Caenorhabditis elegans: one gene and its partner. The protein of the gene in region 2 interacts with the protein of the main gene of each other region in a pairwise test. Each region holds a gene or a part of one and is shown on either strand. Other genes may lie near its edges.

The links. Proteins that work in one complex are often made in the same cells at the same time.
Region 1: the proteins of rheb-1 (region 2) and cgef-1 interact in a two-hybrid assay, tested with the Caenorhabditis elegans proteins (one study listed by BioGRID).

What each region holds. Positions count from the first base shown.
Region 1 is NC_003284.9:2,770,334-2,775,041, forward strand, and holds the start of cgef-1 (DH domain-containing protein), read left to right. Parts: upstream 1-1,708; 5' UTR 1,709-1,744; coding exon 1,745-1,836; intron 1,837-1,859; exon of another isoform or gene 1,860-1,971; intron 1,972-3,481; coding exon 3,482-3,563; intron 3,564-4,215; coding exon 4,216-4,360; intron 4,361-4,490; exon of another isoform or gene 4,491-4,668; intron 4,669-4,708.
Region 2 is NC_003281.10:9,453,627-9,457,785, forward strand, and holds rheb-1 (GTP-binding protein Rheb homolog 1), read right to left. Parts: upstream 2,405-4,159; 5' UTR 2,384-2,404; coding exon 2,311-2,383; intron 2,185-2,310; coding exon 2,059-2,184; intron 2,006-2,058; coding exon 1,909-2,005; intron 1,858-1,908; coding exon 1,801-1,857; intron 1,753-1,800; coding exon 1,626-1,752; intron 1,228-1,625; coding exon 1,084-1,227; 3' UTR 537-1,083; downstream 1-536. Other genes in the region: F54C8.7 (AH domain-containing protein), read right to left, coding at 3-81, 355-433. UniProt on the Caenorhabditis elegans protein: Binds GTP and exhibits intrinsic GTPase activity.

The sequences.
Region 1 (4,708 bases), on a different chromosome or scaffold from region 2:
CAGTGCCTGAGCACGTCTTGAGCAGAAAAAAACGGTCATTCATTTTGGTGTTGCCTCTGGCATTTGCTGTCTTCATCCTCATCTTCTTGACACTTGATATTTCCTTTTTTCTTTGGTTTTTCCTTTCATTTCATTTCATGGAATTCTCATCTAAACTGCGTGGCTTCTGTTTACTCTTCTTTTCCCATCCATCAGAAACGCTTAAGCGTTTTTATTTTAATTCTCAAATTTCACACTTTATTTTTTATTTATCACGCTATCAAAAATGTAAAACTTTTTATTCAAACATAAAGTATACTTTGATAATTTATTGGCACCACAATAATTAAAAATCCTAGTGAAAAAATTTGTAAAACAGCTTTCAAAATTTTTTTTAACACAAATAATTAACACTTTTTGCCAGTTTATATAAAATTGAAAAAAAAAACATTGAAAAGTTGTACTATGGCATTTTGGCACCATAGATGTAGTTGAAAACACTTTTCCCAAAACTGTACCACTTCAAGTTCTTGATAGTTTCAAAAAGTAACTAATTAACTAAAACAAGAGCACTCACTACATAAAGGCCGGAAAATGACGACCGACAGTGATTGCTAGTAGGATATAAATTATGAATTCAAAAAAAAAGATTCGTTTTTTTTTTGGCCGAAGGTATTAGAAGAATCCAATCAAATCGGCCCCAACTTTTTTCTGTACTGCAATAACCCCGGCCGATGGAATTATACAAGTTCACATCAATATCGAATCAATCACTATGCATAGTTATCGGATGTGTTCACGTTAAGATATTTATATAGAATAAGTCTTTTTTTTATTATGTAAACGTGATTTCAATTTTTTTTTTCATTCTATAATTTTGGTTTAAATAATAGAAATTGGGCCCAAATGACCGAATAAAATTGTAAAAAAAATAATAAAATTTATTAATTGTTTTTTTAATGATTTTTCAATTTTGCAAAAACTAAAGAAAGGAACGAATTAAAATGAAACTCCCGCAGAAGTGAGTGACGTCATTTTTTTATATTTTCGGGTTATCTAGCTAAATTTATAGGTAATTTTTTATTTTTCTCATATATTTGGTTTAAAACCCCAGTTGTCATTTTTTCAGACATTTTTACGTGAAGAAACCTTGCAAATTTATAATCAAATGTAGAATAAAAAATAAATTTTTTAAACCAATAACTTTAGCCAAAAATATTAAAAATGACGTCATTAATTTGGAATTCAATTTTACAATTGAAAATATCATTAAAGAGTTATGAATAATTGAAAATTTTATAAATTTTTCACAGTTATATTTCAAAAAGACTCTACTCTACGATTAAAATATAATTTCTGCTTTAAATTATCTCAATAGCCAATTTATTTGTATGTGTGTCCGTTACATTTTCTTTTCTCAAACTAGTATTCCACACACACAACGATTCCTAACCCCAGTGTCTTCTCATTTTGCTCCTATTGATGAATTAATCCAATCAGTCACGCGCAAATGTCACTCACACATGCCCTTTGATGAACAGAAGCAAAGCGTTCAGAGCATCTGCCCTTTCAACTTGCGCTCTCATTTACTGCCGACGTTGAAAAAAAAACGAGCACCGAGGAGTCTTGGAATTGAGTTTAAACGCTTTCCTGAACGTTTTTTTCTTGCTTAACTTGATACATTGTACTCTACATTTTTCTGACTTTATAGTTCATCTTTCCAACTTTCAGGAGAGTGGAGGGCCTCACGAATCGAGTGTTTGAAATGCAGGCGGCTCCGTCCTGCTACGGCAGCATGGTTGCTAGCACATCAGAAGAAGTCACAACATCCACATTATCGCGGGGACCAATGACCATGTGAGTTTGTGAAGTTTTCGAAGACATCGCCGCGTAATCATGTGAAACTATCTCTCTAATCTAAGGAGCCCAAAAATCACTCAAAATTTGTTTATGTGCAGTCTCTACTAGAAAAAAAAACCGATCTTGATGCACATTTTGACCGGCTCAAAATACATACACATTGTGTTTTTCCACCAACCCACACACTTCCACACCAAAATCTCCAGGGACATCACGTCTCGGGCAAAGTTCGGTTTTGGAAAAATGCTACAAAAAAGTTAGTGGCGGAAGTTGAACCTTTATATTTGCAACCAGCTACGTCTCTAAAAAATTTTTAAATTATGAGTACTCCGCCTGGCAATTCAACAATGTGGGTATACAATTTGTGAACACAAAAATTTCCCGAGTAGAATGTTTTTCATTTTTCTGCACATTTTATTACGTAACTTCAATTTCACATTTATTTGCACAAGCCTGATCCGTAGAAGGAGCAGTGAGCCTGAAAAATGAGAGTGATTGACAGAAAGATAGATTGGTTTTGAGTCGGCTCAATGCTTTGTACTGAAGTTTTTTAGTATCACATTTTGATGAAATGCTACTAAATGAGAATTTAATTTTGAATATGGTAAGGTTTCTGGTGTAAGGTTTGTGTTCTCAAATTAACGAATTTCTTTATAGAACCTCACACAAAATTGTAAAAAAATTCTTTGAACATAATTGGCTATTTTTAGCAATTTCAAAAATTTGCCAATTTGCCAAAACTTTGACAGAAAATTTCAAAAAGGAGAGGAGTAGTGCCAGTTAGGACAATGTTTAAAACTGCCCTATGGAGTCAAAATAAAATTAATTTTATAATAAAGCTGTTCACAAAGTTTTCGGAATTTTTTTTATTTTGTGTCAAAAAGTGACAATTCCTCAGTTTTTCCTAATCATAATTTTGGAAATCAACAAAAAAAATATTTTTTCTAAGACTTTTTACTTCAATTTTGTTTCAATTATTCGTGTTCTAGTAGTGCGACATTGCTTTAAACTTTCATAAAAGCTCGTTTTTTTTCAAAAAATTTGGTAAATTGCCAAAACTCTGACTAAAAATTTAAAAAAAAAACGTAAAATTTTTTGGAGTGTTTTATTAGAGTATTTAAACGTTCTGGATCATAATAAGTGTGTACATTTTAGGCGCTACTCCACTTTAAAAAATATTTTCGGTGTTTCTTCTCAACTTTGTGAAATTTTTCTGAATCGTGCCAAAACATACTTTCGATTTTTTTCACATTTCATTTGAATTTAATGCTAGAATATGAGAATTTTTCTCAGCAAACTATTTTCATTTGAAAAAAAAACGCGTTCCAAAGGAAGTTAGTTTCCCAGACTACGGAAATTGGCAAGAAACAGAGTCATTCTTCATCTCCGCCGTCCGTTTCCACTTCAACGTTACGTCTGGCAAAAGTGCGAACATCTTTTATTGAAAAACCTCATGAATAAATCTGAAACATGTTCATAACCGATTCTGTCACCTGTTGAGACCCTCCTAGTTGTCGAACAACAACCAATTACCGGCTAAACACAATTTTCTAAAAAAGGGGGTTAACGTTTGAGGCTAACAGAAATAAGTCTATTGACCAAGTAAAATCATTTTGCTATGCATAAATAACTAATTTTACAGGTCTGTATCAAAATCTAACAGTCAATTTATTGAGGCTCCTGCTTTTTTCTACGATATGGACACTGATTTGAAGGATTTGAAAGTGAGTTTAATTTTACTCGTAGTAACATTTATTTTATTCATTCATTCATATTGAACGCGTTACACTTGTTCCTTGTTAGTACACTCCACAGATTTTTATTTCTTGTTTGTATATAATTTTATTTTTGAAAATATTTTTTTGAAACCATTTTTAATAGAAATTGGCAATTGACAATATTTCAAAAAATAAACGGAAACTGTTTAAATTTCTAAAATTTTTGAATTAAAGTTATGGTCGAACATTTTAATAAATTTATTTCCTGACAAAATGCCCTTTTTTTTTAGCTCAAACTTCCACGTTTTAGTAATGCCTTAAAACAATAATCGGTCGCACAAACTATGAAAAAATCATGTCAAAATTAACCTTTTTTTCCAATTTTCAAAAAATAATTTTGTTTGAAACTTACCGAAATCAATTGCCAAAAATGTTTGAAACTATTGGAAAATTTAAATATAATTTTCATTATAATTTTCTCTCTCTCATTTTCAATTTCACAAAAAAAAAAAATTAATGAAATCGATTGAAATTTAAAAGTTGGGTTGTTTGGAAAATTAGCTTTAAATAATAGAAAATGGCCCGTAATGGGCGAATACTTTTGTTAACTTCATAATTCATAATTTCATAATTTGTTATTCAAAAATGTGTTTACCAGACCGCACTAAAAGACGTGGATTTACTAAACGACTCTGGCTACCGATCGGTAATGGAACGATCCACTCATCCATTTGCGACGAGTCTAGTTTTCCACGAAGACAATGGCTTCGATTCTGAAGACGACGCAACGGACGAGCATTGGGGTTGGTTTGAGCGGGTAGACTTGTGTGTGTGTGTCTGTGTAGTAGTTTTCGCAAATTGCGCAACTTAACGTATCGTAAAATAATGACAGAAGCGGCCGTACTCGTCCGGGTGACCAATCATCCGCTCTACGAATAGGTTATGGACAAAATAGGCGCGAATATATATATAGTACGGTATTTTGCGGGATTTCGATGCACGATCTAACTTTCTATAGTGCCCGTATTATACAACTGGCCAGGCTGGCTTGGCCCACCGCGCGGGTAAAGTTGGCCGCAATAGTCACTTTCGGTTGCTTCATTCATATTCTACCTTCGCGATTACTTTAGTAGATTTCTATATTTGGTACA
Region 2 (4,159 bases):
ACTTGGCCACAACATCAGGAACTTTTATTCCAGTTGGTATTCTGCTCATTGTTTCCGTCGAATCAGAAGTTGGTGACGAGTCTTGAAAACAAAAATATCGATTCATTCTCAAGTATTTATTAAATTTATTCTTGAGGAATAAATATTTAAATGCTATTTAACGAAAATGAAAAAAAATGCATTTCACGTGAAAACGTGCATGGCTGTGTGGCAAATTTTTTCGGAAAAAGTAGGAAAGTGCTTATTTAGAATATGACAATACACGGATTACCATGATTTCACATTAAAAGCAGTTTTGTAAATATGTTCGCCGAAAAATCTTGCCGCACATCCCTAAACACGTGGCAAACGAACCGTTTTGCGTCACCGGTGCGAACGGTGAATCGGCGGGCGGTGCAGATGGCTCAGGAGGTGAAGCCGTTGAGCCCGTCATCATCTGAAACAGTCGCTATGACAACTAAAGAAGAATGACTTCGAATATACGAATTTGGCTAGCTACCAGGTAGATTAGGAGTGGAATGAGTAGGAAAAACAGTAAAAACTATTAAGATTTATTTTCATTAACAGTTTAAAAGATCTGATGTATTTACAACGAAACAGATTCGGGAAAAGAAAACAAACAGAAAATAACAAAACAATAACCGGATGAAAGTGGAGATTTGACAAAAAGAAATCATGATTGTGAAGGAATTATATACCTAGGAAAAAGCCATTTCACAAGAATCACGTTGACATGTAAACCGGTGTAAGGCACTTTGAAATGGGAAAAAAAGTTGAGCAAATAGTTGAGAAAACCAAAATAATGAAAGAAACAGACCAGTTGAAAGTGATTTTTTCTCCGCAAATTTCAAAACAATATATACATTTCTCAGGAAAAGAGAAGAAGCCACGTTTTCCTGATCTCATTTTTTTTATCTTGTCTCGCATCTATCGAATAAAGTGAGGAAGCGAAGAAGAGCGAAGGCGGATAATTATTGACCAGCGGCAAGGAATAGGGCACTAGCAGTGAAGGAAGCCTAGATATTTTGGGGAAAAGAAACAGAAAAGAGACAATGTACAAATTGATAATAAAAAAAACTGTGTTCAACTGATACTACACGGCTTTCCATCATCCTTAAACGGATTCCTTTTTGGTGAATTACCGTTTGGACGCTCCGTTGGTGATAGATTTCCACGCGAGATTTCTATCTCACGGAGAAGCAATTCGAACACCTCATGCACTCGATTCTGAAAATTGGAAGGATGAAGCAACGTGTCGAAACCTGTAGGAACACGTTGACTAAGAGAGGTGCAGACGCTTTCCCTTTTTTTATTCGGAGATAGAAGAGAGAAGAGAGGTTGCAGAAAAAAGAAAAATTGCGAAATAAATATGGGAGGGACACATATTAGACGCAAAAATGAACACACTATGTTCGCAGTTTTCCATTTTCCGGCAGAAATCTTATTACCGATCCGTAGAATGTTTATTGGATGATTTTTTCATAGATCTCATTTAATCTAAACTTTTTATTTCATAAATAAGTTTAAAATTTCTAAAAAGTTTTATATGTATTCGTAGTTTACATTTAAATTTTCACAATTTAAAAGTATGTAGTACTCTTTTTTCTAAAAAAAATTCAACTCACCGATTCTCTGGCCGTGATCTCGACAAACTTCGCATCCCATTGTCTAGCAAGTTCTTCACCTTCTTCTGCTCGAACGACCCTTTGCGTGCTGAGATCCGTCTTGTTTCCAACAATTACAATTGGAATGCTGGAAATTCTTGATTTTTGACTGCAATTTTACTTTCTGCTCAAATACCTTGTGTCACCATAGGTTCTTACGATTTTTTCATAGATGTTGCTGCACATTTCGAATCTGAATTTATAAATCTAAATAAAACAAATAAAGAAAAAACGGAAGTCTTACGATTTTCTATCATCGATTGCATAAACAAGTATAAATCCATTAATATCAAGGGAACAACTTCTCGGGAAAACTGTGTATTCTTGTTGTCCTGCTGTGTCTGGAAATATCTAATATCAGTTTTCAGTAAGCTCAAAAAATGATAAAATTTACCAGTGACTCTTAAATGATAGTCCCTGTGAAACGCTGCTATGTGCTTCGAATGTTGATCCTCAATTGTTGATTCATACCTTTCAGGGAAAATATTTTGTGTGAAACGAAGTACCAACGCCGATTTTCCTGTAAAGTTTCTCAACGTGAATGTCCTTGTTTAAATAAAGTTGTTTTAATTTTTTCATTGCTTTGTTCAATTTTGCTCCCGGTATGTTTGATTTTCTACAAAAAAAAGTTGTCGTAAACGCTCACCAACATGAGGATATCCCATAACGGCCACTTTTCGATTCAGACTCTGACGATTTGATTGCAGCGAACTGCTCATCTTCACAAAAATGAGTATATTCTGAATATTGAATGATTGAGTTTTGATAGAAGTATAAAAAATTAATAAATAAAATAAAAAGGGAAAAGTAAAAAAATTATTTTTTTAAACACTCATCATTATTTTTAAATTCTCTATTAATATTTAACATGTAGAAACAAAGAAATGATGTACTTTTGCAATAATATGCGCTTTTTTCCTGATAAAACGAACTAAAAACCAACTGTAAATAGAGAATTGCAGGCGAGAGAGCGTGTGAAAATAAGAGACGGAGGCGCATGATACACTTCTTGGCAGCAAGCCAAACCCACCGTACCCAAGCAAACCTGCAGATCAAACTCGAGATCGATATTTCTGGCGCAAAACGGCCGCCAATTTGAGCCCTCCGCGTTGAAAGCGTTATTATCATTCGAAATTGGCATAGGTCTTATCAAGAATTATATTTTATGTTTGTACGGGCAGATATAATCTTTTTATCATCATTTTTGTTGTTCAATTAACCTCCGCAAACTTTTAAAAACTCAAAAACATTTTCCTCTGAAGTGTTTTCTTGTTTTCCCCGAATTTTGATGAGTCCTATTTTATTTATTTGTATCAATTTCAGTGAAACGAACCGTGTTTAAGTGTAGAATATGGGCGGACCAGAAAAAAACAGCACAGTACCACTGCCAAATAAGAAAAGGAAGAAGAAGACCAATAAGAAAAAGGTGAGCATTTTTCGGTTTCTGTTCAGAAGTTTTCCCTTTTTCTAAACACTTACACTTTCGAAAAATTAAAGCTCAGTCTGTTCTGACACTAAATCGAACCCAAAGAATACTCTTTTTTTCTAATGGCCTCTAGAGATTTGAAAACTTCAAACAGCTCTGTCGCATTCCCTTCATTTCACGCACTTCCGAGCTTACTCTCTTGGATGCGAGCCCTCCACTAATATATTCTCACATCAGTTTTAACTTAGATTTCTCCTTTGCCTCAAGTAAAATGAGAACGGCTTCATTATGAGCCAGTGGCAGCCGCTAATGACCCAGGGGTAGAGATAACCACTAATTTTCTTTTCTTACACTAGTTTTAAAACAAAACAAAGTGAAAATTTATGAGCATGCTTAGTATTTTGCATTCAATACATTGGCTATATCGCCGATTGAATGTGAGTTTAATAGAATTCTGCCATTAAGCTTTTTTAATCTTCATATTTCAGCCCACAGCACCAAACACGCCTACATCTCCTCAAGCGGGTGAGAAAAACGCAAATTTGAAAAATGGAACAGTTACAACAAACGGATCAAATCACGTGGAAAGGTGAGATTTTGAGTTTTTTTTTTTAATATGCTTTAATTACATCGCTGAAACCGGGACCAAAATGATTATAAGTTGTTTGGTGTAATCGTTGCATCGTCCTTTTCTCATGACAGCAACTGGTTGTCTTTTCACTTCGTCTCAAATGATCCCACCTTCGTGTGTCCGTCATCCATCCACCCATCCATCCATTCGTCCCTTCTTTTCTATCTTCTCTATTCCTTCACCTTGGCCTTTTCTCTCTGTCAGCTGTCTCCTCTTCGCGACCTGGCCGACAAGTTGAAGATTGAAACAAGGAAGAGAGACCCAGGATTTCCTCTATCTCTTGTTGGGCGCCGCAATCATTACATCACTATCACTTGAACACTCTTCCTTCTCACACCGATCGCGTTTTCTTCAAGTCGCTCCTCGCGCCTCGTTGGCCGCCGCCAATATTCTCGAGACACTTCTCGCGCCGCTGATCTTCCTTATCCCCCTTCCCAC